Linked DNA regions of Mus musculus: all the other regions are reported to be linked to region 3. The links are microRNA targets in miRTarBase. Many come from high-throughput screens and were not tested one by one. Region 3 holds a microRNA gene; each other region holds the end of a gene's coding sequence.
What was found. The annotated mature microRNA mmu-miR-466i-5p reads UGUGUGUGUGUGUGUGUGUG and lies in region 3 at 2,460-2,479, opposite strand. An mRNA with a match to its seed (bases 2 to 7 or 8) in the 3' UTR can be bound and repressed. Matches are read on the target gene's strand: a 7mer-m8 pairs with bases 2 to 8, a 7mer-A1 pairs with bases 2 to 7 and ends in A, and an 8mer does both.

Region 1: the mRNA of Maf is a reported target of mmu-miR-466i-5p. Seed matches in the 3' UTR shown: 7mer-A1 at 6,161-6,167, 8mer at 6,159-6,166, 8mer at 6,157-6,164, 8mer at 6,155-6,162, 8mer at 6,153-6,160, 8mer at 6,151-6,158 and 18 more.
Region 2: the mRNA of Snap23 is a reported target of mmu-miR-466i-5p. Seed matches in the 3' UTR shown: 7mer-A1 at 6,062-6,068, 8mer at 6,060-6,067, 8mer at 6,058-6,065, 8mer at 6,056-6,063, 8mer at 6,054-6,061, 8mer at 6,052-6,059 and 3 more.
Region 4: the mRNA of Fam169b is a reported target of mmu-miR-466i-5p. Seed matches in the 3' UTR shown: 7mer-A1 at 1,255-1,261, 7mer-m8 at 1,256-1,262, 7mer-A1 at 1,633-1,639, 8mer at 1,634-1,641, 8mer at 1,636-1,643, 8mer at 1,638-1,645 and 13 more.

The regions. Positions count from the first base shown.
Region 1 is chr8:115,699,436-115,707,547 of GRCm38, forward strand. Maf (avian musculoaponeurotic fibrosarcoma oncogene homolog) reads right to left here and starts at 7,459. Exons shown (of 1, transcript NM_001025577.2): 1 at 3,818-7,459. The coding sequence starts at 7,428. The coding sequence ends at 6,316.
Region 2 is chr2:120,597,992-120,606,103 of GRCm38, reverse strand. Snap23 (synaptosomal-associated protein 23) reads right to left here. Exons shown (of 8, transcript NM_009222.3): 8 at 5,382-6,828. The coding sequence ends at 6,763. Lrrc57 (leucine rich repeat containing 57) reads left to right here. Exons shown (of 6, transcript NM_001159612.1): 5 at 1-156; 6 at 846-1,866. The coding sequence ends at 887. Among named protein-coding and RNA genes, the nearest start is that of Lrrc57, 7.3 kb to the left of the region's middle.
Region 3 is chr3:85,461,749-85,469,860 of GRCm38, reverse strand. It overlaps Mir466k (microRNA 466k), which reads right to left and starts at 2,484; the gene lies at 2,363-2,484. Gm31419 (a long non-coding RNA gene) reads left to right here. Exons shown (of 6, transcript XR_001783866.1): 2 at 7,885-8,101.
Region 4 is chr7:68,360,534-68,368,645 of GRCm38, forward strand. It overlaps Fam169b (family with sequence similarity 169, member B), which reads left to right. Exons shown (of 9, transcript NM_001374636.1): 9 at 709-2,548. The coding sequence ends at 789. Among named protein-coding and RNA genes, the nearest start is that of Gm16158, 11 kb to the left of the region's middle.

The sequences.
Region 1 (8,112 bases), not on the chromosome of region 3:
AGTTAGGATCTTGAAGAATCAATTGAAGTGGTAGAAACCACAGCCTTCGACTGCAGAGAAAACTTCCCTAAATCCCCCAAAACAACACAATGGAACGATAGTGCCTCTTCCAAGAAAGGGTGTAAATTATTAGTTTTATAATCCAATGTAAGTCAGTCCCTAAGGGAAGTCCTGCAAATCAGCCCTCCAAAGTGGGCTGCGAGGGGGGCTGACTTCTGATGGCTCTCTCATGGACAGTTTGTAGGAGCATTAAGGCCTCAGAGCGGCAGTGGGAGGTTTTGGTATGCAGTGATCAGATGTCTAAATGCTGTCACTCATGATAAACAAACAAACAAACAAACAAACAAACAAATGATGCCAGGGTTGCAATCAGACTTTTAAAAATATGGGTTGGTCTGATATACATCAGTAGTATTTTATCAAGCTAAGAATGTGTAAGCAAAGGGGGGTAAGTTTCCCTCAATCAGAGCAGGGTAAGACAACAAAGACCCTGAAAGCTCTGTGCTCCTAAGCCTTGGGGTGCGTCACAAGCAACTTCTGTGACTGAGACAAGGAAACGCAGGGAACCTGGCTGGAGAGCCGAACTGCGTAAAGGTGACTACCATTCTTCTATCTGAATGCTTTTAACAGTAACATTGGTGGTTTGGCCAGAGGAAGTCCTATTTAAAAGCCCCCAAATCTAGAAGTGATGTTACCACATAAACAGGACTCTGGTAAAGGTAAAGGGGAGGAAAGAACAGGGTGTTAGCACCAGACACATTCAGCAAAAAAACAGCATCTCCCATTGTAGGTAGTGTCTGTGTGGAAAGGGGGTCTCAGTGGTTCAGGCACCAAGCTGTAAATGCGCACATGATTTATCAGTTGGGAAGAGGTTGCAACTATTTGATATCAATATATTAATATGTTGGATATTTTATGAATTTTTTTTGAAAAGGGGAAATATACATATGCCAGGAAATTAAAAGTAAGTGATTTTTGTTGAGCGCCTCAGAGGAAAAAACACTGTATATGGGGGTGTGCCGGAGGAGCATCCGGAAGGTGTGTACCTAACTGTATTTTACCACAATTGGTTTCATTTACAGCTATGTCTGACAAATGACACGTTTGACACCAATCAATACTAGTATCACCAGGACCTTTGAAAACCTAAAGTGTCCCCATCCACAGAAAGCTGATGCCCCTAACATGGGTTTGGGGAGAGAAGTCAAATTCTTGCTTTTTTTTTTCCCCCTTAGTATAATTCTCTGCCAGGAAAACAATAAAAATGAAGATATACTGTCAGGAATGTGCATGCATGAATTTGCTTTTAAAAATACTAGCTGTTTGCTTTTGGGAAAGTTTTCTTTATAGATATGTTGGTATAACACATACATACACACACATACACACGCATGCACACGCGCACACATGGAGGTGCTAATTCCAATAGATTAAAACAAAAACAAAAACAAAAACGATTGTCACAGCTGGAAAGCTATCACACCTGTTTGGTTGTATGCCTGATACATGGCTAAGTGCAGAGGCCCTTTCCTGGGAGTCTGGGAGTCCTTCAGACAAGGAGTGTAGTTACTTAATTGTTTAGTATGGTGGCTACATATTTATTAGCCTTCTTCTCGAACACATTTTTCTTTAGAAAGGACAGAAAATGGGAATCATTCCCCAGAATCACAAACAATATTCTCAAATGGACAGCTTGCATTCATCTTATGGGCATCCCATATTTTATGAACACACTCACACTGGGCACACGCGGCTGGGCTTCCCAAATGTGCCATATCCCGCTGATGACTCTAACTTGCCAGTGGGCTGTTTCATTATTGGAATGATAGGAATTTTAACACTATTTAGACAAATGCAGGGGAAAGGGGAAAAGGAGACTTTCTTATTCTTCGATTTCTTTCTCTTTCTCTCCTTCCTTTGTTTTTAACCTTTGGGAATCTATTTGTACTCATGGGCATTTGGACAAGATACGTCTTTTTTTTTTTTTTTTTTTTTTTTTGCGTTTAGTTCTGTTTAGTATTATCTTCTGAAGTCTCTCGTGTCTGAAAGCGCTTTTCAGTGAAGGTTAACTTTTGCTTTGAGCCAGTCACTCCGCCTCCTCTTTATTCTGATGGTGCTGTCTCATTTTCTAATGTCCAGGGCCCAAACTGGCTTCTGATATTGAACTGCTTTATAGAACTCTATCAAAGTGATTAATTATTATATATAATTGCATCTCCCCCACCCCAACCCAGGTCTTACTCTTTGATAAACAACTGCGACCATCGTGTTACAAATGCCTCTTGTGCCTAAGAATATATTTGCCTAAACTCTTTCTTCTGGTGCTGAGCTTTGGGTCCAAGTGATATACCCATTTCCTCCTCGCCAGACTGGTAATGTGTGCCTATTTTCTGGCTGTAGTCAGATGATGAAAATCTCTAAAGCTGAGGACGGCTAACTTAGAGCATAGAAGAGAAGTTTTGCCATTAAGATTTCTCTGTCAAGCAGAACTAAGTGTTTTGAGGACTCACGTCTAAGCTCACCGAGTGACGCCAACATAGGAAGTGTAAACAGTCTGTGTTCTGTGCAAAAGAGCCAAGGCCCATGAGAAACAGGCCAGGATTCCCCAGCCTGAAGGGCTACCCGATTCCTTAGAAATCAGGCCTGCATGGTGGGTTGCAATATTAGCTAGTATTTTAAAAAAGAAAAAAGAATCGAAAACATAATCAGACAAAAGTCATTTGTGTTTCGCTATATTTCCAAAACAGTGTTGGCTTTGTCTACTATGGGATTAATTCTCAGGGAGTCCTACCGAAAGAGAAAATGCCATGTATTTGTAACATGGTTGCAGGAATTTGTGTCAGTTTTAAATGGGTCAGGGTTTAGGAATTCAACTGAAGGTAATTGAGATATTTTTCCAAGTGATCATTCAATTAGACCCCATTCATAACCTGCTTTGGGGGCAAACAGCAATATATCAGAGCACCGCCTACACCCCATGAAAATGTTGTTTTCTTTGTATATTTATATTTGGGGGACTCATGTAGTTATCCCTAGCTTATATGCTTGGAGACAGCTCTTTGACTATTCGAAATATAGTTAGATAATATAGATAAAACCTGGTGTGAACTGGAAACTCTGTGTGCAAATGATAGACTTTCTTTTTCCCATTTAGGACAAGTGACTTGAAAAGTTTAAAAAAAAATGACAGGGGGAAAAAAGAGCAAAATCAAACAACTTTGATTTGTGCAAAGTGTTTATGTTTAGTCTTGTCAGGACTGTGCCAACAAGAAAATCACAACATGTAAGGGAAGAAGAAAAAATAATCAATTTTGGCCAAACGGCAAGAATTATTTATCTTTACCATTAAATGCATATGTTCCCATGCACCTCTGGTGAGCCAGACTTGCTGGTCCCAGTCCCTCTATCTGTGCTCCTTCGTCAGAAGCTTAGAGTCCTGTTCAGAAAGCTCCTATGTGCTCTCAGTGTGTGTGTGTGTGTGTGTGTGTGTGTGTGTGTGTGTGTGTCTCTGTCTGTCTGTCTGTCTGTCTGTCTATCTCTCTATCTTTCTCTCTCACTGTCCCTCTTTCTCACTTTTTTTCCTTACTAGCTCAGCCTATTAGGAAACTAAGATCTGTGAGGAGAAAAAATAAGATGTCATAATTTGTATTAATATTAAATATTGTTACTGACTATATGGTGTCAATCTCCTGCCTCTCAGAATAGAATTCCTGCCTCCAACTCCCTTGTTCAGAAATCAAAGAGAATGCATTTTGTATTTCATATCCAAGCTCCAAGACATGGGACCCAGTTAATCTGTACACTAAGAAACGGAACAGAATCAAAAAAAATGCAGTTTATTATTGTAGATTATTCTTTCTCTTGATATAACCAGAATTGAAAATGAAAGAGAAGCATGTAGAACGTCACGCGTGGTTAGTTAGTAACTCAAGTTATAAAACAATTTTGCACAGCAAAATATGTAAAAGAAAAGTAACTGACAAGATTTCTTATATTTATTGTGGTAAGATTTCCTTTCCTTTTCTTTCTTTCTTTCTTTCTTTCTTTCTTTCTTTCTTTCTTTCTTTCTTTCTTTCTTTCTAAGACAGGATGTCAGTCCCTGAAAATAACATTTACTGGTTATTGCCTTTAAAACTGTGGATTTTTTTAAGTTACAGAAAATCCAGTTCTGCACCACAACATAACTGTAAAAAATCTGCATCACTTTAAAACTGTGCAGTAATGCCATTTTATAACTGCATAAATTTTATTAGCGTTCTAAACAGTTTTTGCGATTTTTTTTTGTATTATATGCTTGCAGGTTATATCTTAGTGCAATTCAGTCCCAAATACTTTAATTTTGGAAAAAAACATACATTTTGAATGTAAAATACCCCTACAGATATAAACAGGGGCATTTCCCCTTTTAATACTTTGGTTTTCAATACAGTCCATGGTATAGCAAGAACTACACATACCCAACTTATATTTAAGTTGCAAGCACATGCTTCAGAAAGCTACTTTTTAAACAGTCCCCTTGCAAACTCTACCCCCCTTAACATCACAACAGTAAACAATTTAGTGCATCGGTCTTTAAAAAAATCTACAGCTACACAGACCTAACTCTTTCAAATGTATCTATAACATTCCTTTATCTGTAGCATACATTTTAACTGGGCTAACAGATTATAAAATCTAGAATTAAATTATATACTAGAAACCCATAGCATTCCACATTTGACAATGACCAAAAACCAAAAAAATTAAAAAAAAAATAGAAAAAATAAAATAAAAAAAAATAAAACCAACCAAAAAATAATTGGGGCAGATTTTTTTTTTCTTTCTTTTCAAAGAAAATTTAGACTGCTTTTGGCAATAGCACAATTTAAAGTGCCCCAAAGCAGGCATCATTGTTTCTAAAAAGAAAACATTTAATTTACGTTCTATAATATTTGCCATATAAATTTGTAGCCCATTCTGCTATCTTTGACAAGGAACGCCTTCAGTGCATGTACAACGGGAGGCTGAAGTTCATTGTAACTCAAAGCAGTCAGGAGTAGAAGCAAACTGTCAAGGGAAGAAGGCTCTGGGGTTGTACTTTTTCTGTTGTTGTTTGGAACTCAAAAAAGTCATGAGGCTGTAAATCAAAAGTATGGATGTCATGCGCTAAGTCTTCAAAAGTCCATTTCCAAGCCAAATTGGGGGGAAAAAAAAGGAAAAAAATAATTATACCATACATGTCCAGCATGCAGGCTTCTTTTATTAATATAATGTCTCTTTTCCATAATGTCTTTGAAACTGTTATAGTTCATTGTTGCTAAGACAAAGTAGCAAGCATCGTAATGCATGAGATGAGAGTAAGTTTGTTTTTGTGTTTTTGTTTGTTTGTTGTTTAATGGCAGACTAAACTTTCAGATTTGGCATCATAAGGCCAAAACTCACAAGTCACACCCAGAAGGTTGATGTAGGCTTGATTGTGGCAGGTTCAGGAGTGGCTTTAGTTCATTCTGTTTTAGCATAACAATGCTAAGATAAAACCCCCGTGGAACTCAGCTCGCTGCAAGGTCTATAGCATTTCACATTTTTTTTTCCTTTGCAAGCTCAATCAGAAGAACTCAGAAGGAGGGGAAAAAAAAACCCTGCTTTTTTTTTTTTTCCTTTTATCTCAAGAACATGGTGCAGGGGTGGGGGTGGGGGGTGGCAGAGGCTGGGAAACACAGCAAGCTCCAAAAAATTAGTAATAGTAATAATAAACAAAAACAAAGAAGAAGAAGAAGAAAAAAGAAAATCCAAACAAAATAAAACACACAAACACACACACACAGAATGAACACCAGCTCATGAGCTGAAGAAGAAGAAGAAAAAATATATATACAGGCAATTGATGGCCCGGTTCAAAGGTGAGCTATGCCCTACATGAAGTATGCTGCTCAGATCTTTGACCCTTGTGCAAGTCCAGGGTATGTGTGGGGCAGGCGGTGTAAAAAGAGTAGTAGTTGTAATAATAATAATAATAATAAAAAAGAACAAAACAACCAAGCTAGCAAGTTACGGGGGAATTCAGGTTGGCAATCCATGAGCCAGACACCCTTTCCCTCCCCAATTCAAAAGAGCCATCACCACCACCACAAGCTTGGTGTGTGTGTGTGTGTGTGTGTGTGTGTGTGTGTGTGTGTGTGTGTGTGTGTCTGTTCAGGGCCAAGGGGAGCAAACTCGCCAGGGGAGGGGGCGAGGTGGTGGCCGAGCGAGCTTGGCCCTGCAACTAGCAAGCCCACTCAGGAGCGGGACCCCCACGGAGCATTTAACAAGGTGGCTAGCTGGGATCGCGTGTCACACTCACATGAAAAATTCGGGAGAGGAAGGGTTGTCGCTGCTCGAGCCGTTTTCTCGGAAGCCGTTGCTCACCAGCTTCTCGTATTTCTCCTTGTAGGCGTCCCTTTCGCGCACCAGCCTGGAGATCTCCTGCTTGAGGTGGTCTACCTGCTGCAGCAGCTGGTTCTTCTCCGACTCCAGGACGTGTCTCTGCTGCACCCTCTTGAAGCGGCAGGACTGGGCATAGCCGCGGTTTTTCAGGGTCCGCCTCTTCTGCTTCAGTCGGATCACCTCCTCCTTGCTGACCCCGCGCAGCTGCCGGTTCAGCTCGCGCACCGACATGGTCACCAACTGCTCGTCCGAGAAGCGGTCGTCGAAGTGCAGGCCGCCCGCGGCATGGTGCGGGTGCAGGGCGCCCCCCGCCCCCGCCGTGCCCCCGCCGCCGCCTCCGCCGCCGCCGCCCCCGGCGCTGGCCGGGCCACCGCCGCCCGCGCCACCCGCGCCGCTCGCAGAGGCAGACGCGCCGCCCGCGGCTCCCGGGGCGCCGGCCGTCGGATGGTGGTGGTGCCCCGCGGCGTGGTGGTGGTGGTGATGGTAGTGGGGTGCCGCGCCGCTCTGCGCGGCGGCCGCGGCGATCACGGCGGACACCACGGCGGCGGCGGGGCCCATCTCCTCGCCGCTGCCGCCCAGGGAGGCGCCGGCGCCGGCCCCCGCTGCCGCGGCCAGCTGCTGCGCTCCCCGCGCATAGCCATCGAAGCCACCCTGGAGCTGGTGGCTGTTGCTGATGAGCGCCTCGACCGCGTCCTCCGGGCTGAAGCCCAGCGCCTCCGGGTTGAGCTGCTGCGGGTAGCCGGTCATCCAGTAGTAGTCTTCCAGGTGCGCCTTCTGTTCGCTGCCCGAGCCCGGGCTGGGCGCCGAGAAGCTGGGGGACGGGGGCACCGAGCTGCAGGGCGTGCTCATGGGGGTGGAGGACAGCGAGCCCCCGGCGATGAGACGGCCGCACTGGCTGATGATGCGGTCGGTCTCCACCGGTTCCTTTTTCACTTCAAACTTCATCAGATCGAAGTCATTAACATATTCCATGGCCAGGGGACTGGTGGGCAGGTCGGAATTGTTCATTGCCAGTTCTGAAGCCATCCTCCTGCCTCCGCCGCCACCGCCGCCGCCGCTCCGCCAGATGGGCTGCAGGAGAGGGGCCAGCGGGCTGTGCTGGGTGGCCAGCGGGTGAGCCAGCTTGCCGGGCTAGGGCGCTTCTAGCTTGCGCGGCGGTGGCTGTGGCCCGAAAGCTCGAACGTGCACACACCCCCCGCCCTGCCCGCAGCCCCCCGCGCCCGCCCTCCCTCCCCCTGCTCACGCCAATGTGCTCTCTCTCTTTCTCTCTCTTGCTCTCTCGCTCTCTCTCCTCCGCTCGCCCCGGGCCCCCTCCTCGCCTGCTCGCCTCCCTGAGCTCCGATCCCGGGCGCTTCAGGCTCGGGAAGGTCCTCCGCGGCTGGCGGTGACGGTGGTGATGACAGCGGCAGAGAGGATGCCGGAGGAGCACGGCCCGGTGCGCGGCGTCCCCGGCTCGCCGCTCCGCTGCGCGCTTTGCATAAGGAGGGCTCGCCTAAGCCGGCCGGGCTGCAGGCGGGGCGCGCGCGGAGGCTGCTCCGGGGCTGTGTGGCGCGGCGGGTGGCTGTCCCGGAGGCGCCGGCCTCCACACCGGAGTGGTTAACACTTCACGCTTCTCTCCTCTTCTGCCTGGCTCTTATGGTTACTATTATTATTTTCTTTTCTCTCTCCGGATCCCTCGCGTGCGCGCGCTCTCTCTCTCTCTCTCTCTCT
Region 2 (8,112 bases), not on the chromosome of region 3:
TGTCCTCGCCTCAAGGTCCTCCGGCTGGAAGAGAACTGCCTTGAGCTCAGCATGCTTCCACAGAGCATCCTCAGTGACTCCCAAATCTGCCTGCTTGCTGTGGAAGGCAATCTCTTTGAAATAAAGAAACTTCGAGAACTAGAGGGTTATGATAAGGTGTGTATTAACATCTTTTACATTTTTAGTGCCTGCTCCAGAGAAAAAACTAATGAGATTAAACTTAAGTGATGTCTACAGTTAGCATTTGACAAGTTTGTTTTGGAGGTAGCTCTAAGACTTGGCCAGACTGTATTGTGCCAAGTGACTTTCTCCACATATTGATTATCGCACTGCATCTTTTGATGTTTCCTAGCCAAAAAAAAGAGGCAAAAATTAATGAATTTAAGTAGATTTTGCCAGGTTTGGAGCAGGGTTTTAATCCTAGCACTTGGGAGGCAGAGGCAGGCAGATCTGAGTCCAAGGCCAGCCCAGGGCTACATAGTGAGATTCTGCCTTGAAAAGGAGTTAGTTTTGTATGAAATTAATCAAGTCAAATTAAAAAGAAAAAAAAAACATAAAAACGTAAGTCAAAAAGTATCCCTGGGGGAGGGGGGGCTGGAGAAATGGCTCAGGAGTTAAGAGCACTGACTGTTCTTTCAGAGGACCAGGATTCAATTCCTAGCCCCCACATGGCAGCTCCCAACTATCCATAACTCCTGTTGCAGGGGATCCAACACCCTCACACAGATATAGATGCAGTCAAAACACCAAACTACGTAAAATAAAAATAAATCATTGAAAAAAAAAGGATTCTTATATTTGTCTACACCAAATGCCATATGTATAATTTTCTTTCATGTTTTTAGTACATGGAGAGGTTCACAGCCACCAAGAAGAAATTTGCATGATATTCTCCAGGATCATGGGACAGACTTGGAACCTCTGTTGAAATCTGACTGAGTCAAAGGCTCCTGATGTTGGATACACTGCAGAGAACATTTTACTTAATGACTTTTTCCTTTTTAGGACTATGTCAGATAAGCTGAAGGAAAGGGATTTAGGAGTAGGAGACAGGAAGAACCCTTCATCTTGAGCCGTGTAGGTCATGGCCAGTGTTGATCTTCAAAACTATCATTAGTTGGGCTCTAAGGAACCTGCTGTTCATGAAGGGAGGAAATGCTGCTTGCCATAGCTGGAGACTTTGAGTTTGCGAACTGTCAGCTTTCATAAAGTCTTTCCCATCACCTCTGTGTTAATACTTCATATTTTTTATGAAATTCTAATTTGTGGGAAACGTATGACTAAGGATGAATGTGTTTGTTCCTGTACACTAACTCAATAGCAGTGTTTACACTTGGAACTTAGGATGTACCTAAATATGTAGCTGTCTTGAAGAGACCTTTGTCAAAGGAGCACCAACACAACAGCCACCGAGAATGTTCCCCAAGGCTGCAGTAGCAAATTTTTTTTTTTTTACTATTGCAGGTGCCTTATTGGTAGAAGGCTCTGAAAGAGCTAAAACTATATGCAAAAATTATACAAAATTTTTGTTTTTAGACAGGTTTTTGCTATGTAGCCCAGGCTGGCCTCAGACTCAAAATCTCCCAACCTCACACCTCTCCCCTCCCCCACATGCTGGGATTGTAGGCATGCGCTACACTCAGCCTACTTGTAGGATTTTAAATTAATTTTAATAATCAAGATTTTCCTGAAGCTTTGTTAAAAATCATGTGCTATTTCTGGTAACTCCTCCCCCTTTTGTATTTATAACTGTACTAATCAGATTACCTTCAAGAAAACCATTGCTACAATATTTTAAAATAACTTATGTTTATCATAGTTACTCTCTGAATGAGAGAATATTCTAAATAAAATATTTTTAATGAACTTTGTCTGGAAGTAATGTTAATCAATTAAAGAACTTTTAACCTAACCTCCATGGAGATCCCAACACCCTCTCTCTTTGCTCTCTGAAAGTAAACTGGGTACCATTAAAAAAAAAAAAAAAAGAAGCCTGTCTCAAAAAAGCCAAAAAGAAAGACAGGAAAGAGAAAATTGGGATATATTTCACACTCTTGTTTGGTTTTATGGCAATGAACACCTTTGCAGCCATGCAGACATTTCTGAGGAACTGGGAATTGTGCTTAAGAGAATGTGAAGGTACAGAGACAGGATTTCAGATTGTTACTGGTAAGAACGTCGTGAAGCTATCATAGAGATTGTTTTCTGAAGTCTTCTGTCTGAACAGTGCCTTTCACTAACAAATCTGAAACTATAAATAACTTACATGTGTCTGTAAGAATCAGCAAGTAGCACCTTTTTCTTTAGTCTCAGTTGTATGTCCAACCATACCAAATTATACTGCTCCAGAATGCCTTCCTGTTAGTAAGTCAAGACATGCCATCTCACTTACATGGTGCTGACCCGTATCTAAGCTCCTTCCCTTAATCTAATCCGAATTAGCTGCTCCCCCATTTGCTGATAGAATACTTTCCACATCCTATATTTATCTCTCTTGCTAATCTGAAGTGCTTGAGGTTAAAAAACCATATAAAGGGACTGGAGAGAGAACTCAGAGATAAAAAGTACTCGTCCTTACAGAGGACCAGATTCAGTTCCTCCACCTCCATGGAGGTCCCAACACCCTCTTCTGGCCTCTGGGCAGTAGGCATACATGTGCTACACATACATACATGCAACCTTAACACTCATAAACAAAATCTTTTTAAAAAACAAAACAAACCTACCCAATATGCCTTAAATTTTAGTTTGGTTTGGAGTCAGCTAGTACATGGAGTTAGATCACAGGCATTGTACTTGGAGGAATCAACATATAGATCCTTTGCTACTTAATAGCTTCCTGGGCAACTTACTCTCATCTGTAAATATAGGGAATACCTCTCACTTCTCAAGTATGTATTATAGAGAGAAGATACATAAAAGTGACACAGCAGGAACTCAGTGAAACAAACAAACCATTTATCTTATCTATAGAGGAAAAAAAAAAGATCAATCAATGACTTCAGGATAAGGAACCTGAATATCAATATGAGAAATAAATTAGGAACCTAATTAGGATAACTTGGAATTTTAATTAAGAGCATCCAGGAAAATGGCATTCAAATAGCTTTTGCTTTTTATTTTCATTACATTTTTTATGTATATGTGTACACAAGCTTGCATCCACTACAGCACATGTGGAAGTCAGAAGAATACTTTTAGGAGTTGGCTTGCTTCTTCTACCATTTAGGTCCCGGAGGAGTTCAAACTTGGGTTGCCAGCCTTACCTGCTAAGCCATATTATTGGCCATTTTGGTTTTTGGGTGGTGTTTCACATATTCCAGGTTGTCCTGGAACTGAGCCTGAGGATGACCTTGAGCCCCTGATCCTCCTACCCAGGGCTGCGTTTGGAGGGCAACCACCACACCTGGCTTACACGGTAGTCCAGAGCTGAATCCAGTTTTTGAATACTAGGCAAGCACTTCATGAACTGAGCGGTTCTACATCCCCAGTCCTAGAAACTTAACTTTATATGCTCATAATAAGATGTTTAACTTAATAGAAGAGTCAGAATCCATATGTGATAAGGAAAGATTAAGAATTGACTGAAGAGGGCTGGAGAGATGGCTCAGAGGTTAAGAGCACTGGCTGCTCTTCTGAAGGTCCTGAGTTCAAATCCCAGCAACCATATGGTGGCTCACAACCACCCTTAATGAGATCTGACGCCCTCTTCTGATGTGTCTGAAGACAGTTTCAGTGTACTACTACTACTACTACTACTACTACTACTACTAATAATAATAATAATAATAATAATAATAATAAAAGGCCGGGCAGTGGTGGCACACACCTTTAATCCTAACACTTGGGAGGCAGAGGCCGGCGGATTTCTGAGTTCAAGGCCAGCTTGGTCTACAGAGTGAGTTCCAGGACAGCCAAGGCTGTACAGAGAAACCCTGTCTCGAAAAACCAAAAAAGAAAAAAGAAAAATAAAAAAGAAAGAAAAAAGAATTGACCAAAGAATACATTAAAACTGAAGAAGGGATGAAATAGGTACAGCCGTATAAGTTAAGATGAAATTTGGGCTTTAAAATTTTTTAAAACGTAAAATTTTGAAGTTGGGTGTAGTGGCACACTTGATTTCAGTATCTGCGGAGTAGCGACTGGTAGATCTCTGGGTTTGAGGTCAGCCAGCTTTACATGGTGAGACCCAGTTTAAAAAAATAAAAAGTTGCCAGGTGGTGGTGGCACACACCTTTAATCCCAGCACATGGGAGGCAGAGGCAGGTAGATCTCTGAGTTTGAGGCCAGCCTGGTCTACACAGTGATTTCTAGGACAGCCAAGGCTACACAGAGAAACCCTGTGTCAAGAAAAACAAACGAAAACAACAAACAAAAAGTTTGGTACAAGATACTAGCTCTTATCTGTAATCAGGTATTGTATTCAAGATCACTATACTAGAAAACAGACCAAAAATAAATCTCCAGCTTGTATTTACTTGCTATCGTATCTCAAAAATAATGGAAGTGGTGCGCATGATGGTTCAGCAGGCAAAGGCACTTGGTATCTGCTTCTTTGCTTTTTCTCTGGAGAAGGGGAAACCTAAGATCTTTGACCAAAAAGAGCTTCCTCCAGTCTAGAGAAAATAGCTATCATTTATGACAGTTACATCTTATAGGCACTGTTCTAAGAGTTTTGTTGGTTGATTCTTTTTTTGGGGGGAGGGGGTGCTGTTTTTTGACACAATTTAGGCTGGCCCACAACTCACTGGGTAGATTGTGCCTCAGGTTCCCAAATTTTGGGATTACCAGTATGGACTCTGAGCCTGGCATATTCTAAGAAATTTCTGGGCATTACTGGTCTGTGAATAAGTTTATAAAATAAGATTTATTAATCCCCATTTACAGATATGGAAACCAAGACAAAGAAATAGCATACATTCACACCAGCCAGCAAGAGCAAAGGGGTTTTGGTGCATATTCTAACCAAATATACCTTGGATGCCACCTTTTGGTACCGTTCCTTTAGACAAATCAGCATGTTTTTAAGGAAAGCACTTTTAGGTACAGCACAATTCAGTGTTTTGGACTTAGCCACACCTCTTAAATTCAGTATCTTTACCTGACAAATGAACCACTCTGACATGGAGTGCTTCTTTGATTTTTTTGTTTGTTTTTCGAGACAGGGTTTCTCTGTATAGCCCTGGCTGAACTGGAACTCACTCTGTAGACCAGGCTGGCCTCGAACTCAGAAATCTGCCTGCCTCTGCCTCCCGAGTGCTGGGATTAAAGGTGTGCGCCACCATGCCAGGCATTTCTCTGTTGTTTTAAATACTGTCCTCTTCACCCTCTGAATGTTGGTAGGCTACATTTATCTTCTTCAATAAGTGACTTGTAATTCTCACTCAGAAATACTCAGTAGTGTATTTAAGTACAAATGACTAAGATAATGTCTAGAATGGACTCATAGCAAACCATAGAAACTCCTGTAAACACTTCTGCTAAAAATTAGAAGAGAGCTAATACAGCTTTCTATTGGAGTGCTTGATGTATGGACATTTGCTTTATTTAATGTCAACAGAAGCTGATAAAATGATTGCCCCCACAAATAAGTCATAGAAACATTACCTATTTGAAAGAACAATATCATTAATTATAAAATTTAATTGTAAGAATAAAGCAATGGTTATTGGTGAAACCAGTCTACTTTAGTAGCTCTAAAGTGTACAGATGCTAATTTTTAAACAAATGTGACAAATACCATTTCAGCTTCCCTAACACTTCAGGATCTACATAAACTTGATTCTGTGCATAAGGCAGAGAGAATGGCAGTGCGGTCATCAATAATTAATATAAAGGCATAATTTTCCAAACAACTTTTAGTAACAAATTATGACTTTTTAAATGTTTAAAACTACACAAAACTCAAAGCAATCTATTTTTCTACCTGAGATCAAAACAAGTTTTTTTCATATCTAAACATAATTCTTAGTATTGAGGTAAATCTGAATTCACATGATACACTGTAAAAGTTTCCCCAAAACTTTGAGGAAATCTCCTATTTCATGTGTGTGTGTGTGTGTGTGTGTATCTTTTAAAGGCTACCGTCAACTTCATGAAGTTAACAGGCCTACAATGGGACCATGCCATGACTCATTGTGTGAGAATAAAAGGCACTCATTTATATAATGTTCCTGCATGTGCAATATGAAACTGGATCCAAGAACCTATGTATATACGTACAAATCACTATGGGTTCAGAAGTGAAGCTCACTTCTAGAAAACTCATTGTATTCTCCTTTGGAGCAGAAGCTGAAAAACAGTGATGCAGAACAAAACACATGTGTGAAAGCTCCCACCCCAAGCACTCGTCTGTGTTTTTGTGACCTGTAGTTTCTTTAATGAGTCAGCTTCATTTCCTATTCCTTCCTCTTGCTCTTTACCACAAAACCAAAACCAAACCAACCAACCAATACCAATAATGACAAAAGCTACTTATACAGCTGCTTCTTTCATGGCTCTTTGGCAATGCTTCCAAATCTTGAACGCAAAAGAAGCTAAATGAAGAGATGAAGAGACGGTGATGTATGGAAAGAAGCCTATGAGAGTGACTGAGAAAGACTGTAAGGAAGCCTGAGCAAGAACCTACCCCCTAAAGACAAAGTAAGAAAGTAGCGAGGCATTCCTCCTCTGCTCCTTCTCACAGCCTTTCAAACTCTGAATAAGAAATGACTCAGCGGAGCTAGAGAACTGAGTTAACAGGTAAAGAAGTACAGCAGGGCTTTAACTATCAATGAGTTTCTTTGCTCTTGTATTGGCAATGTCAATACGATTCTTGTTGGTGTCAGCCTGAAAAAAAAAAAGAGAAATAAATATCAGCCTCTGTTCACAAAATAACCCATTTTGAACACAAGTTAAACTGGGGGAATTCAGGTGCAGCTCAGTTGGAAGAGTGTCTACCTAGCATGCACTGGACACTGGGTTCAATTTCACAGCACTGCATGAAAAGTGGCATCACGGCCTGTGCCTATAATCCTAGCACTTAGAAAGAAGAGGCAAAAGGACCATAATAGCAGGGTCTTCCTCAACTACACAGTGAATCTGAGGCCAGCCTAGGCTACATGAAATTCTGTTTCAAAAATCAAGTTTATAGAGGCTGGGGAGAAAAGAAAAAAAAATCAACAAATTTAATTTTAATTGAGGATATAGCTCAGGGGCAGAATATATGATTTGCAATTCTATGGACATATATTCACTCCCCCCCACACACACACAAATACACAAAGTTTTATATATTTGGGACCTAGATATGGGCATGTAATTGCAGCACTCAAAAGGATATGGCAAGAATATCATGAGTTCAACACCAGCCAGGGTTATAGTCAAATTGTCTCAAAATAATAACAGAAAAGAGGATGAGGATATATATAGTTCAGTGGTAGATTACTCGGCTGCCACACACGAGGTCCGATATTCAGTCATCAGTGCAATAAAAAACATAGTAAAATTTGATTTGATTTTTTTGAGACATGGTTTCTCTGTGTAACCTTGGCTGACCTGGAACTCACAGTCATCTGTCTGCCTCTACTTGTCAAGAGTGCTGGGATTGAAAGTATATGCCACCAGACATCACAAAATGTAATGAATGTGTATAGGTATTTTGCCTGCATACATGTCTGTGTACCATGTGCCTATGGAAGCCACAAAGAAGATGATGGAACTGGAGTAAGCCACCATGTGGGTGCTGAGAATTGTTTCCCAGTACTCTTGAAAAACAAGTGCTGCCCTGCCCCCTGACACCCCAGGGTTGCAGACACACAGCACCATGTCTAGGCTTGTATGTGAGTACTTAGGGTCAAATGCAAGTCCTCATGCTTGCATGGCAAGTGCTTTCCAACTGACATCTCCCAAGCTTTTCTACTTAGTTATTTTTTGAGACTAGATCTTATTACCTGGGCTGGCCTTGAGTTTATGAGTTCAAGTGATCTTCCCACTCCTCTGGAGTGGCTGGAATTACAGGCATCAACACCACGTCCAGCCCATTTTCGATGCAAAAAAGTATGGCAAGAATGCTCTCTGTGCAGGAATCTCATTTGGAGCTACTGTAGCTCTGACCAAAGAGACTGAAATAAC
Region 3 (8,112 bases):
CTGGCCTCGGGTGCTGCTATTGTAAACTGCTCCTCCTACTCTGCTCTCAGGCCCCGGACCGAGGCTGTGAAGGTCAGCTGCCCTTATCCATGCACTACTGGGCAGTGGAAACAACAGGCTTCTTGGTGGGCACTACTGGATGTTTGTGGTTGCCATGCAGCAACTGATGACTGGTACAGACTCCAAAGCACTCTCGAGGGCCCACCTCGTGGCATTCTCTCTAATGGCTTGTTTTTGGATCCTCTTGCCCTTACTGATTACATGATAGCAGCTGTTCCTGCCTTGGGGCTTCGTATTGGCTGTGTCCTCTACTGTATTTTCTTCTGTGGGTCACTGTCGGTGCTAAATGCAGTGAAATGAACTAGCGAGACAGTGGGCCCTGGCAAGGGCAGAAGGAAACAGTGACATGGGGTGACCTGAGCGGTGGCATTGTGCAGACAACTGGAGGAGGAGAGAGGACAGCTCACACATATCAGTCTGGGTGGAGGGAAAGAGAGCTAGAGGCCAGCTGGATCTGGTGTGCTCTCTCTCTCTCTCTCTCTGTTTCTTCCCGAATCAGTGGCTTTAGATACACCATCGCATTATCTAAAACCTCCCTCCTTCCCTCCTCATCCTGCCTGCTCCCCCATCTTCTTAATTGGGGTCAATCTTTCCAAGTCTCTCAGCTCAAGGGAGGAAGTAGTATCTGCTGTAGCAGATGGTCCTACATTCTGGTGACATCCTAGCTTTCCAGGTATCCCTTGGAAACAATCTTGAGTTTGTAGCCTCCCAACAATATGAAAAGTTAGACTTAGAAAAAAAAATGTTTAAAAGGAAGTAAATAAATATTTTTTCCTCTGCTATTCATATAAATATTCTGAGATACAATAATAATAATAATAATAATAATAATAGCCTGAAAATACCCTGGGTGTGACCAGTTAGTTGAGAGCTGGCAGTGTGTGTGTGCCCTGTCAGCTGCAGGGTGATAGCTAGGATTTAATTGCCCTTCCTAAGATGCAGCTCAGTAGAGTGAGGTGAACTAGAGTCTTTCTATATACATGTCTCTGAGGACAAGACTCACAACAGCTTCCACGTTACCCAGGACCCAGTTGGACCGTGGACACTCAGGCTTCACCACAGACCTCCTGGCCTTATTTCCTGGGGGTTGGTGTGCACAATCAGCTCCAGGAGAGCCAATCAAGTCCTTGTGGATGTCATGTCTCAGTGTCCTCTTTATTAGGATGTCACAGGTAAATTCCTGTGGCTGGTGCCAAGACAAACTGCCTAGAACATTTTATTTGCTGGCTTGCTCTGATTAAAGTGGAGAACGCACTGCACTTTCTCGTTTGTGGTCACCTGCTAAATCTTTACCTTATTTCTGGTGTTGCCTAACACAGCGTCTCATACACAGCAGAAGAGAAAGAGTCACTAAATGAATGAATGAATCTATTTCCTATTTCCTTCGAAATTTGAGCCTCTGCACAGGCTGAGATGTACTGGCGTGCTTTGTGTTGTTGTTGGAGGTGGAATCTGGGGTCTTGTATATGCTGGGCAAGTGTTTCATCATTGAGCTATAACCCAAGAGCTAAAAAACTTGTTCCGGTGGCATTAGGGTAGCAGACAATTTTTGGGGAAATGAAGTTTGTTTCCAGAAGGCCTAGGGCTGTGGAATCCTGGGTATAATGGATGCTTAGAAGAGAAGAGATGACTTCAGGTCTCAAGGACTGAGGACATGTCCCTAGTTTTCAGTGACTGGCTTTTATACCACCAGAAGCTCTGCACACTCTGTACTGACCCTTTTCCTGTGAACTTCCCTGTGTAACATTTGTTCCTCTGTTTTATCAGCTGAATGATGGAACCTCACAGCCAAGAACTTTGAGAGGTCAAAAGGACCTGGCTGCTTCCTGCAGGTGGCAATGGCTTCCTTTCTTCTTCAGCCTTTAGACAGTTTGGATTTCAAATTATTCCATCACTTTCTAGAACATTCCAGATCCAAGCTCTCCTCTCCTATCACAGATGTATTCTGCAGCGCTGGGCCTCTCTACTGCATGTGGTTGTGGGAGAAGAAAGCCGCTGAGGTAGTTGAAGCCATGTTTAGCTTTTAGTTCTGTGAGGCAAGAGGGCCAGGACAGAGCATTTCCCCTTCCCTGTCAAGATATCAGCACCTGCTTGGGAAGCCAGAAGATGGAGGAGTAAAAAAGCTCCTGTTCCTCGGGGGCTTGCAGGTAAGGTCACGGCCAGTGCAGAGGTGCCAGTCTTCTCCTGCCCTATAAGGCTGCTGCTACCTGTGAAAGATCAGTGCAGTTGCTTACCTGTCACCTAGGCCAGATGGAGACACAGCCATCGGAGTCACAATTAGTAACACCTACTCACCATACACACACATGCACATGCACACATATACACATATATTCACATACTCACACACATGCACATGTACAAACATATACACACACATACTCACATGTACATGTACACACACACACACACACACACATATATATGTATATACACACCTGCACACACACACACACACACACACACACACACACACATATCAATAGAGAACATGCATATACACGTACATGCACTCATGCACATGCACACCCATGTGTATATGCACACACATACATACACATATACACATATGCATGCACACACACACATACACTTATTTCTATAGGAGGGTGTACATGAATGTATATCACATGCACACATGTATATGTGTGTGAATATAGGTGAATATACAGCCCCTCCCATCCTGGAAACTAGCACATTCATATAAGACACCATAATACAGCTTTTCAATATTTTCTTTTCTGTAAGAAAGTAGGGAATTGACTGAAGTCCAGGGCTGTTGCAGTTCAGAAGTTCGGCTCTTTATCTAAATGTGGCCCTGAGAGTTAGGCAGCAGATGGAGGTAACATGGCAGCTTCCAGGGCTTGGAGTCAATGACTTCAATGAACAAAAACAGACACTTTCTTTTACTCGCTCCATTGAGAACATGACCACACATTCCTGGCTCACAGGAGACCCCTAAATCTGGAGGCCACTCCACGATGTCTCCTCATCCTTAAAGTAGAAAGTGGGACTGCGGAATCTGTCATGTGCTCCATCTTGGGCCACTGATGGGGTCTGTGTGAGATGAGATCTGATTTGCCTCGGTTATTCTGGGATGCACATTGGCTACTCTGCCCACTTCATCCATTCTGAGCTACTACCAATCTCCATCCTTACAGGCAGCAGCCAATTTGAAACGTACAGTTGTATACTCCCACTTCAGGTTACTTTTGCCAACACATATTACCTTATGTTTATTTGAGTTAAGTTTCGTCTGCCTGCAGGCTGCACAATCCCCCAAAGTGTTCCGATGCACCTGGAATTTCTTGCAAATCTTCTCTGTTTTTATTAGCCACAACAGTTTGGAACTAGTTGAAACCTCTGGGAAGAGATTAGACAACAATTACTGCCCGTTGCTCATGTAATGTCTGGCCAGGTACATGAGCCAGCAGGCCTTGCTTGGCGGGGTGGGGGTGGGTGGGCATGATAGCATTTCTATCCACTGGTCTGTCTTTTGAACTCTCAACTCTGGACAGGTACCAGGGAGCCAGCCTATCCTTGGGGTGTATGTCTACACAGGGGCATAGAGCTGTCTTATTTACAGGTTTTAGAAGCTACTGCTCTGGAGCCAAGGGAATGTGTGTTATCAAGGCCCACTCTGTCTGGTCCCCTTGGATATTACAGAAAGAAGGGACAGAAGAAGAGAGCCGAGGGAGGGGAAGGAAGCTTGCAGCACTGCTCGCTATGCTGGGTTCTGTAAAATCAGGTGATTAGACATGGGAGGAGGAAGGACAGAAGTATCACCCTTCGGACTCCTCTGGAGAGGCTGAGACATCACCATGGTCACATCCTGGAATCTGGGAATGAGGACTGGTTGAGGCTGGAAGCCACTGTCCTCAAGACCAGGTAGGACATCAAGGACCAGTTCCACGAGCCAGGATGGAGGAGGTGAAGCGGGCTGCTGCTTGCGGAAAGCAGCTTCTGTGAGCAAGGCTGGTGTGTGGGCAGCAGCTTAGGCTGAACGGATCCCAGAGCGTTCCAGCGAGCTAATCTTGTCAGCCTCAAGCTGTTCCACAGACAGTGGGTGTGAATCCAAAGCCATCTTAGATGCTCAGCTCTCAAATGTTTCTTTTAAGAAAATAAAAAAAGAGAGATTGAAGGTACACCAGACCCAAATGGGCCAGTTACCTGGGAAGGTTAGACTTGTGAGCTGTGAAGTGCAAGTATGCAGATGTTAGAGACGATGGGATGAGATGTGTGTATGGGGGTGGATGTCTCTTCTCTGTCAGCTATATCCCTGGATGAGAGTGTCTGTCTCCTTCTGCCTCAAGGATACTGTATATATCTGCTCCACGTGTAGAAGCAGAAGTCAGTGGTATCCAGTCTCCAGCCCTGGACTCGTCTTCTCTCCTGTTGTCTCTGCTTTCATAGTCAGTTGACTGTGCCTGCTTAAACTGTGCACATATAGAAACTAAATCTTGAGGAAGGAGGAACCCTAGGAGAGTAATATAATCCTGATCCTGACTTCTAATTAATCTCTATGGGGAGAAAATATCTTATGTCTGTATGCATGTGGCAACTGTCAGTAATAAATTTGATGACCTATAACTTGGCAGGAAATAGGAGGTAGGACATCTGTGAGGTAGAAAGGATTCTGGGATAGTGCCAGGTGGGAGATACACTGGGGAAGATGTGACAAGACAGATACCTGGTACCTGAGCACAGGTAACCAGCTATGTGGCAAAATGTAGTTGAGCATAGGTGGGTTATTTTAAGTTCTGACCTAGTTAGAGAAGAGCCTAGCTGTATGGCCAAGGTATTGTAAACATATTTTGAGTCTGTGTCTTATTTCTGGGAGCATGGGAATGGGAGGAAGAACAACCTACCTTCTGTATCCCTACTCTACCATTAGTCTCCTGTCCCTCTGTCCTTCATCTTTCCATGGCTGCAGGGAAGACCTGATGCTCAAGATGAGAAATTAAAACCACTGTCCCGGGGGGTGGGGGGTGCGGGGTGTTACATGGACTGTAGTCTGGGTCAACCAGAGTCACACTTGAAAAGGGGAATCAGATCACACTGATTCACAGCAACACCTATGACCCCTTTAAATAATGAGTGGCGATTTCATGTTACTAGCATGCTGTGACAGAGCATCACAGATCACACGGCTTAAACATTAGGTATTTACTCATAATCTTGAAGGCTCAAAGTAACAGCACAAGTGTTGGCAGGGCTGCTGTCTCCCGAGGACTATGAGGAGGAATCTTTGAGGCCTCTCTTTTTGGCTTGTAGGTACCTGTCTTCTGAAGTCTTCACATGGGCTGCACATGTCTGGGTCCACATTTCTTCTTAATATAAGATTAGGGACTGCCCTAATGGCTCTATGCTGGTGTGTGTGTGTGTAATACGAGCAACCAACTCCTGGTTGATTCTTCCATTGTCAAGCTCCACAGAGAATTCAGAGTGCTCTTGGGTACAGCAACAGCAAACCTCTTCCTCCATCCTTCCCAGGTGCTTTGCAATTCTTTCTTGTGTCTTTACTACTATTGCTGTGTGCATGCATGTTTATGTGTGTGAGTGTAGGTGCCTATACACACAGTACATGTGTGGAGGTCAGAGGACAACCTCCACTCTCCATCTTCACTTTCTGCCTTGTCTAAGGTTTTCTTATTGTTTGCCAGAGTAGCTGCCTGTGAGCCTCTGGGATTCTCCTGTCTCTATTGCCTATCTTTGCAGAGGAACTCTGGGATTACAGATGTGTACTGATGTGTTAAACTTTATGTGGGTTCTGGGGAGTCAAACTCCAGACCCTACACTTGCAGGGCAGTTGTTTTAAATATTGAGCCATTTTCTCAGCCCTGCTATTATTTTTTTCATACGGGGTCTTATATTGTAGCCAAGGTTAGTCTAGAGCTCATTATATATGGAATCCAAGTTAATCTCAAACTCAGTCCTCTTGCCTCATTCTCCCAAGCACACTGGAATTACAGGTGTGAGTCACTACTCCTGTCTTGCATTCATTCTTACTACCCAGTTTCTGACTGCTCAGGATAGAGTTTTGGCAAAATGATACTCATTCTTCCAGTCAGTGGTTATCCAGAGACATAGTATTGGCTGAGCTGTCAGGAAGGAAATAGAAATGATTTTCCCTTAGGTATAGCAGGGTGGCCCCACTGGAGCCTGGAGAGATGTATGTTCTGTCATTTTGGAAGTACCTTAGGGGGCAAAAGCAAGTGGATTCTGGCCCAGGTATTATACCATCCCTGTGGAGTTGCCCAGAGACTCAGCCTGGGGACACCATCACAGGAGGAGACTGGGGACAAAATGTAAAATTAACAAGCTACCCTAGAGGGCCATGTGGTAGTTCAAATGAGAATGCCTCCAAAGGTTTACGTATTTGAGGGCTTGATTTGAAGTTGGTGGAGTTGTTTGGGAAGGATTAGGAGGTTGGCCTTGTTGGAGGATGTGTGTCCCTAGAAGTGGGCATTGAGGTTTCAATGGCCTATGCCATTCTCTCTTTCTCTGCCTTCTACTTGTAGATCAGATGTAAGTTCTCAGCTACTGTCCCAATGCCATACCTGTGTGCCTTCTACCATGTTCCCTGCCAAGATGGCCTCCCACTCTAACCTTCTTGAACCAGGATCACCAAATTAAATACTTTCTTTTATCAGTTGTCTGGCTGTGGTGTTTTGTCATAGCAATGGAAAAGTAACCACGACAAAACTGGCAACCAGAATCTTGACCTACACTCAAGGAAGGGGAGAAATAGGCACACACAAGCTGAAGTTGGCACCTCTGTGCACTTGATTGAACAAGATAGCATTTTTGTGAACAGAAATACACTGTGATCACCTTCCTCCTGGCTCCTTAGGAAAACCATCTTCAGGAGAGCTCATTAGTCGGGTAACTATGCAAGTGTATGTTTATCCCAGGTGCCACAGCAAGATGTGCAAAATATTTTCTTCTTTTGATGCTTGAGGTGAATTTTATTAGGAGGCTCAATTGGAGCCTGGCGTTCCTGTCAGATACAGTGTAAGCAAGCTGTGCCTGGCTGGAATTTTCCATTCAGGTTCAGAGCATGGGTCCACCTTCTTGCCCACTGAAATAGGGACACTAACTTGGGACATGGTCTGTCATGCCACAGTTCCATACTGTCATCTTTAATTACCCAACCACTGGGGAATTCTTGTGGCCATTTACCTTGAAGTGGAAGTGTTTTTCCTGCTTTTGTTAAAACAAAATCAAAACCCAAAGCAACCCACCCACCCCTCAAAAAAACCCAAAACCACATTTTCCATGTGTATCCAAGTGAAGACAGTACAGAAGTCTACGGAACAAATAACAAAAATTCCCTTTAATTTCTTATTTCTGCAGAGTCACCCTCCCGCCTTCACGACTACTTAATTTATTTTTATTTTTATTTTTATTTTTATGTGTGTGTGTACATGTGTGTGTGTGTGTGTGTGTGTGTGTGATATACATGTGTATGTGAACGAGCGCTGTATTAGCGATCTCTTATACTGCATATCTTATCCACTTACTTACTTTTTTCCTTGGAGAAATTGTCATGTTAGTACATATAGCACTACCTTAGTCTGTTAATCAATGCATATTATTTAATTTCTCTCTTAAAATGGACATTTCTTTAGATTATAGAGTATCATACTATCACAACACTAGCTCATTTTTCTTTACCCTTGGATTGATCCCAACCACTTAACGTATTTAAAGGGAACCAAAAGATGTTACCCTCATGGCAATGTGCAGTGTGAAGAACTGTCCCCAAGCCTGGAAGTTCTAACCTTGTCTCTCTGCTCTTGCCTTTTCTATTGACTGCTGTAGCTTGAATCTGGAATGTGCCCCGAAGACCCATGAGCTAAAGGCTTGGCTTTCAGATGCTGTTGGAGTGGTGGAGCCTTTAGAGATAGGCTCTAGTAGGAAAAAAATACATGACTGGGAACATGCCATTGAAGGAGATTGTTTTCCATGGTGATGTGCTGGACCATCAGAAGCCCCAGAGTAATGGTGCCAAGTGATAAAGGCTGAAACTCCCCAAACTGTGAGTCAAAT
Region 4 (8,112 bases), not on the chromosome of region 3:
ACACGCATGAAGCTTTGTAGAATCTGGCTGTACTTGTGTACCCCCTGTGAGTCCATCCCAAAAGAGGCAGAGGCAGGAAAATCAGAGCATTTTTAGCTTCGTGGAGAATTCAAGGACAGTCTGGAACACAGGAGACCCCATAACAAATAAACAAACAGACAAACACAACAATGTCTAGTTGTGTCTTGGTGTCTATGGGAGTTGGTTTCTGGACCTTCCTTGGATGCCCAAGCCCCCTGTGTGAAATGGTGTCCCTGTTTCACTCACCCTCCCACACACGTGACATCATCTCTGGATGAGTTGGGCACCCAGTGCAGTGAACACCACAGAAATGGTTGTTTGGTACTGTAGGGACAATGACCTGGGAAGGGTGGGCATGCCCAGTACAGCCTGAGCTGTTTGGGGTGTTCTGACTTGTGTTAGCTGAGTGTGTCCATCATCTACTGGTGCTGGGTGCGTGGCTCTCCTGCTCTGCTCTGACCTTACTTAAATCTTGTACAGGCTGGCCTTCGGGTCCATCCAGCAAATATGTGCACCGGTGACAAATATGTTCCCCTGTGCATCACTAGCTGGTTTGTTCAAACGTGACTTATCGCCTTTAATCTCAGCATGAAGGGTGGGGCTAGCCAAGCCAGCTCACCCCGGGTCCTATGTCTAGACCTGCACTGTCCGTCAGGACCTCATCACAGTGTTACCTTCTGATTTCAGGAGTGGGCTGTTGGAGAACCGGAGAGGACACAGAATGGCCGACGCTGTGCGCAAGTGTGTGAGGAAGCGCGTCAGGTGTGAACTCGGCACCTAACTCCTCAGAGGGCCGTCTGGCTTCTCCAGGATCTGAGCCTGAGGGTTTTTATACGGCCCTGAATAGTCTCTGGTCCTGAGGATGGCGATCGTTATCTCTGGCTCCCCTGGTAGGCTCCGGAACAACAGGGTCTGAAGAAGTGCTTGGGTGAGCCAGATACTCAATGGGAGCCACTTTTGCAGGCCAACTGTTGGCAGATGCAGGACTTTAGAACGTCATTCATTAAAATGACCATTGCTTCCACTCCCCAGGAGAATAGGAGGGAGATGCGTGGGACCCTGTGAATGAATGAACACACTTCCCCTTAGTGGAAATGGGCTCAGAGATGGACCATGGTTCCCATCCATGATGTACATTCAGCCTTGTTGTAACCTCAGAGCTCCACAGTGGAGTTTTCAGGGAGACAAGTTCCATCTCTGGGGACTTGTCAGTCACTTCTGAGCTCCTTGAGGACACACACCAGGGCTGGATAATGTCAACCATGCCAGGGCCTGATGGTGGCCACTGTGGGCCTTGGACTGCATTAGGCTCAGTGTACTGCCCATGTTGCCTTCAGTGCCATCGGGTCCAGATGTCTGCATTCGGGGGAGGATTTCTACCTGAGAAAGTGGGCCCGACACTTTATGTTCCCTGAATGCTCAGCAACATATGCTGTGGGGTCTTATATTTGTCAAAGCGTGCAGCTCTTTGCTCATTTCTACATACATGCACACATGCATGTGTGCACACATACTTCTCTCATTTTCTCTCTCTCCTCTTTCCTTCACCTCTTCTCTTCCTCTCTCCCCTTTCCTCTACCCATTTATCTGTATATATATGTGTGTGTATGTACACACACACACACACACACACACACGTTGTGATTGTTTGTATATGCTAGGCCCAGGAAATGGCACTTTTAGAAGGTGTGGCCCTGTTGGAGTAGGTGTGTCACTGTGGGTGTCTGGCTTTAAGACCCTCATCCTAGCTGCCTGGAAGCGAGTATTCTGGTAGCAGCCTTCAGATGAAGATGTAGAACTCTCAGCTCTGCCTGCGCCATGCCTGCCTGGATGCTGCCATGCTCCCACCTTGATGATAATGGACTGAACCTCTGAACCTGTAAGCCAGCCCCAATTAAAAAAATTTTTTTAAATAAGACTTGCCTTAGTCATGGTGTCTGCTCACAGCAGGAAAACCCTAACTAAGACACACACACATATATCATACATATACATATCTACACAACCACACACACATGTACACTCACACATACATTCTATTTCCTTTGATTCACTGCTGTATCCCCTACCAGCCTGTCCTCTCTTGTTCCTTCCTTTCTCCACCCATCCAGCATGCTTTCTGCGGGACAAACTCTGTGTCGTGCTTGGGACATTAAACTGAGGCTTGGTTTCAGCCTCAGGGAGCTGCTCTCTCTGGGTGGGCTGCCCTGAGTGTCTCCTGCAGTTTCTCTTCGTCTCACACACATTGCAAAGAGGGAGGGGCCCGACTGTGAAGAAGCAGAACTTGCAGCTCCATACAGGGACATCACGAGGACCCCGTTTGCATATGGGGGTCTGTGAAGGAAGCCCGGACCACAGACATGGACTGAACATCTGAGGGGTGCTTTGTGTGGGACCCCACACATTCTTTAACATGTAGTTCATGTGTTGTGAGGATTTCTTGTTTTCTGTTTATATGAAAATTAACTCATAAGTATCTCTGTGATTTAGTAACATTATTGCTCAATAAAGACCTTCCACATGTTAATAGCTTAATTTTAGGACTTTCAAGGTGCCCACGGTGTTGGGAGAGGCTCTCTGGATCAGAGCAGTGCCCACCCTGGTATTGGCACAGCAGATGCCAGCACTAGGCTGGTGCAGGGTGCCTTCTGGGGAGGACACTGTGGGACTTCTTGATTGTCAGTGTGCAGTGAGCCTGTTTATGCAAGATCATTAATTCTGTTTTTACTCAGGATTTTTAATGGACTTGCCTCCCTCACCCACTTTGAAACAGGGTCTTGCTGTGTAACCCAGGCTACACAAACACACCAGCTTTCTGTCTCAGGCCCCAGAGTGCTGGGATGACAGAGTTTTAAACAGCTGCTGCGAATACAGTTTACTGAATGTAAAAGTGATTTTCAGGGCTTCTGCAGCCACCGCCCCAATCTGTGCCCAAAAGAAGTGTCGTGTCCATCGACCCCCTTTCCCTTCACTGCTCATGATCCCTAGGTCACTGCTCACAGACACGCCTGCTCTGAGCATGTCACATAACTGCAGTCATACCTTAGAAGTTATTGGCAGCTGGCTTTCTTCAAGTAGGATGACAATGTTCAGAGGTCTTAACTGTGTTCCAGCATATGTCAGCACTCCGTTCCTTTTCAGGGCTGAGTAATATTCCACTGCATGGATCCATGGTGCCACATTTGTTCATCCAGTCCTCAGCTGATAGGCTTTTAGATTGAGTTCTAGCTTTGCCTGAGACAATAATATTGAGATCATTGCTTTAATTTCCATTTCTTCAATTGTCAAGGAAAGTGGAAACTTTTTAAAATATTTATTGACCCTCTATGTTTTTCTTTCTTCCTCTCTTCTTTTCTTCCTTCCTTTTCCTTCCTTCCTTCCTTCCTTCCTTCCTTCCTTCCTTCCTTCCTTCCTTCCTTCCTTCCTTCCTTCCTTCCTTCCTTCCTTCCTTCCTCCCCCCCCCCCTCTCGTTCCCTGACCAGTTTATCCAATGACTATTTTTGGTGTTTAAGTTTTGCAGGTTGTTTTTTTTTTTTTTTTTTTTTTTTTTTGTATATTGTATATACTAAACCCCTGTGTTATGGTTGATTTTAATGCCACAAAGTAGAATCACCTGACTAGGGAGCCTCTTTTGAATGAAGTGTCCGTCCTGCTTGATGTGGCAAGACCTACCCTGCCTGTGAGCAGCACCTTCTGGTAGAGCCTGGATAAAAGGGTTTGCAGAAGGAAGCTCACCTGCATCTGCACACTTGGCCTCCCCCTGATGGCTGAGTGGATTTGCCCATTGCTGCTGCTGCTAATTCTATCACAGACAGCAGAACCATTGTCTCCAGGCCTTCCCTGTGGGCTAAGGACCAGTGTCTCCCCAGGAACCTTACAGGTTTCCAGCAACAGGTTGGCCCTGCTGAAGTACCCAGTCGTGTGCACGGAGAAGCTACCGATTCCCTGTCCTGCTTCAGTGAGAGAGACTGCGGGACTCCTACTGCTGAGGTACCGGCCTCTAGGACTGAGTAACTACCAGACTCTCAGCTTTTAGGTGTGATCCTGCTGTTACTACCTAAAGCTGACCTACTTCTCTCTCTCTCTGTCTCTCTGTCTGTCTCTCTCTAATCTATTATCTATCTATCATCTATTGATTAATAAATGATAGATTAATAGATCTATTAATAGATCTATCATGTCATATCAATCATCATCCATCTATCTACATCTATGCATTATCTATCATCTATCTTATCTATCTATCTATCATCTATCTATCTATCTATCTACCTATCTATCATCCATTCTCTGTCTGTCTGTCTGTCTGTCTGTCTGTCTGTCAGTCTGTCTCTGTATGTGTGTGTATGGTCATGGTTCCTCCTTCCAGCAATAGAACAATAGGACAGAAGTTGACGGCAGGCATCTGTGGCATCGCTGTGATAGGCCTGACATTCTGTTTGTTGGAAGAATATGGGAGACTTTGGGAATTTGAAGTAGAAAAGTGAATGCTTTAGTGCTTTGCATGAATTAGCTTGAATGCTGCGGGAAGTGTGGCTGATGGAGCATCCTAGTAGGATCATGGAGGGCAGGAGTACGAGGTCGGTGTGGACCCTGCAGGTGCACCTCAAGACGTTTCTGAGGGCAAGAAGTAATAGCAAGTGGCCTACAGAACATTCTTATAATGGGTTGGCAAAGAATGTATGTGTCTGATTTCTGGCTTTGTTTTAAAAAAATCTACCCGAGCACTATTGGAGAATTTTAAATTAGTGTCCTTGGCAGAGGAGATTTCGAGACAGCCTAGGATTGACTGTATCACGTGGTTACTAGTGGGCACTCTCCTGCAGATCTCCGTGGAAAAGGAGGAGCACGGCAAAGAGAAATAAAAATGAACATCAGGAAATGGAGCCAAACTCTGTGCTCGAGGGGATAGTTTTATAAAAGGCTTGGTTTAAAATGGAATAAAGGAATTGGTAACCTCAGGGCAAGACCCACCCAGCTAATCCTGCAAAGGAAAAGACTTGGGGGATTTTTTTTAAGGCTTAAATAACAAAGGAAAGCGTCCAGCACCAGCAAGCAGCAGAATTTAGCAGCTTCAGCTATAAAACTTTATGAAGTTCTGGCTTTATCAAGGAATATATGGGAAAGGGGCTCTGGAACCTTCCTCTGTGGCTAAATAGAAAGCCAAGGAGGCACAGGAGTCCCTGCATGAAGGCCCAGAGAAGCCATTACACGAAGCTGTGAAAACGAAGCTTGGATTTTATTGGAAACTTCAAAATGTTGGAGATGCCAAAGCGGTGGGATACCTGCCAGGAAGAGCTGATAGCAGGGAGTGGAACCAGTCCAAGGGAAAGAAGTGTGCGGCAGTCAACGGAGCTGGAAGGAGTTGGAGACCTGAAGAGCACTTTGACATCAGACATGGGGCTGCAGAATTTGGCGTCTGCCCAGCTGGCTTTCAGTCTTGCTTTGGTCCAGCATCTCCTCCGCAGGGCTCCTCCTCCTCCCTGTTGGAATGGTAAGGTAGAATCTGTGCCACTGTATGCTGGAAGTACGCGATTTGCTTTTTGTTTTTTATAGGAGGTTACAGTTAAAAGATCGCAAGAATCCCAAGAGACTTTGGACTTTAAAACAGCGTTGAAGTGAAAAGACTATATGGGGATCTTTGAACTTGGACTAAATGCATTCTGCATTATTATATAAGCCACTGAGGGCCAGGGAACAGAATGTGGTGGTTTGAGTGAGAATGGTCCTCATAGGCTCGGTGGTTTGAATGCTTGGTCCCCAGTTAGTGGAATTGTTCGGGAAGGATTATGAAGTGTGGCCTTGGTGGAGAAGGTGTGTCACTGGGGGTGGGCTTCGAGGTTTCAAAAACCCATGCCAGGCCCAGTGTCTCTCTCTGCCTGCTGCCTGCTGCCTGCTGATTATGATGTAGCTCTCAGCTTCTTCTCCAGCACCATCCCTGCTTGCTCCCCTGCTCCCCGATGATTATGGACTGACCCTCTGAGGCTGTAAGCAAGCCCCCAAATTAAATGCTTTCTCTTAGTGCCTTTTCACAACAATACAACAGCAACTAAGACAGTGTATGTGTTTTTAGGTGTACACACACACACACACACACACACACACACACACACGGCATCCCATTGGCTCTGTTCTTTTTGAGAATACAGATTTATATACCCTGTCCATAGGAGGCAATCTGAACATTTGAATTTGCAGTTCTCTTTGTAGAGAGTTACTCACTTGCAGCTAGAAGGTGCTCCTTCCCCCAAAACCCTGGGGCAGGGGATGGAACCCAGGGCCTCCCAATGTCTAGCCAGGGTGTCTTCTACCCTGCCCTGAAGATGTAGTTTTAAATTAGGCCCTTGAGTTTTCATCTTGAGAAGCTGTGTGTATTAGTCAGAGTTCTCTATAGACAAACAGAGAATGAATCTATATACAGCAAGGAGATTTATTATACTGACTTACGGGCTATGGTCCTGTTACTGCTAACAATGGCTGCCTAGGGATGCAAGGTCCATGAATCTCATAGTTATTCAGCCCACAAGGCCGGGTGTCTCAGCAGGTCTTCAGTATACAATGGGATCCTGAAGACATAGATCTTAATGCCACATTGAACTTGCCAGAGAGCGAGCGTGAGGGCCAGCAGGCAGAGAGCAAGCTCCCTTCTTCCATGTCTTTGTATAGGCTGACAGCAGAGGGTGTGGCCCAGATTAGATGTGCGTCTTCCCACCTCAAAGATCCAGACTAAAAGTGAATCCAGGTGTGGCCTCCATTTTTGGGTTTTAGTTACTTCCAGGTGTAGTCGAGTTGGCAACCAAGAATAGCCATCACACCGTGAGATGCAAGTTTCCTGTGTCGTCTCTTCCTCTTCGGTGTCTCCGCTTCAGAGCACAGACTGCTGCAGGAGAGGGAGGAGAAATGAGTGCCTGCTGTCCTGAGCTTGCACCACCACACGAGAGCAAGATGTCTAAGGGTATCCCAGCCCCAGCTCTGGCCAGGGGAAAGCCCTGGGTCAGCTTCAGACAAGACATTAGGAAGGAGTAATTTCCTTCGATGTCACAGCGTTGAGGTGTTTCTGTGAAGGGTCAAGGGCTGCTTAACGGAACTGGCTAATCCTTTGTAACCTCATTTTCTTCAGACATGTCACATTTCCTCGAGGCTCTTGACAATGAGTAGACAGGGAAGGCAGAATGGGGGGAAACTACTAAGCCACAGGACAGAAAACTGTGGAAAGCCCTAGTGATACTGGAAACACAACTTAAGGCCAGAATGGGATGTCCCTTGTCATGCAGTACAATAGCCATGACTGCCCAGGGCCTGGCCCTCTGAGATGGCATGGCAGGGGCTGGGGGTTGGGGGGGGGGGGGTCTGGGATGTGGGGACATGGAGTCCATAAGCAACACCATGATGATTCATTTTAAAAATAAAAATAAATACTTAGGGTTTCTTGCTCTTTCTTTTGAGACAATGTTTCTTTTCTTTTTCTTCTTCTCTGCACAGCCCTGGCTGCCCTGGCGCCCATTCACTCTGTCGACCAGGCTGGCCTTGAACTCAGATTTGTCCACCTCTGCCTCCCAAGTGCTGGGATTAAAGCTGTGCTTTTTCTGTTTTTGACCTTTCTAACCCTAATTGGTCTTGTACCAGCCCACCTTCTGCCTCAGTTTCCTGAATTCTACAGGATTCTACAGTTTCTATGTTAGGAAAAAAAAAGATCAAGTTTTGATTCTAAAGGCCTGCCCGCTGCCTTTTGATAGATAACATTGGCCCTGCAGACACTGCAGTCCCAAGCCTCAGGGACTTTGCTGGATGTGTATGGACCAACAGCCCCATGAGGATCCCCTGAGAGCTCGAAGGGTTAATTCCAGACACGGAAGCCTTTACTCGGTAAATGTTCCATCCGCCTCATTCTTGACTGTGCAGGCCACTCTTCATTTACTGTTTCCCCGTCTGTGCACTCAACAACTCCCGGAAAGCATGCCATAAAAAGCTGCCGGTGCGACCAAACACGAAAGCCCGTTCTCCCCTGTCGTTATGTCCCCCAGTGATGCAGTTTAACAACTATCCACACGCCATTTAAGCATCAGATTCTGGGTGTCACCTAGCAATAGC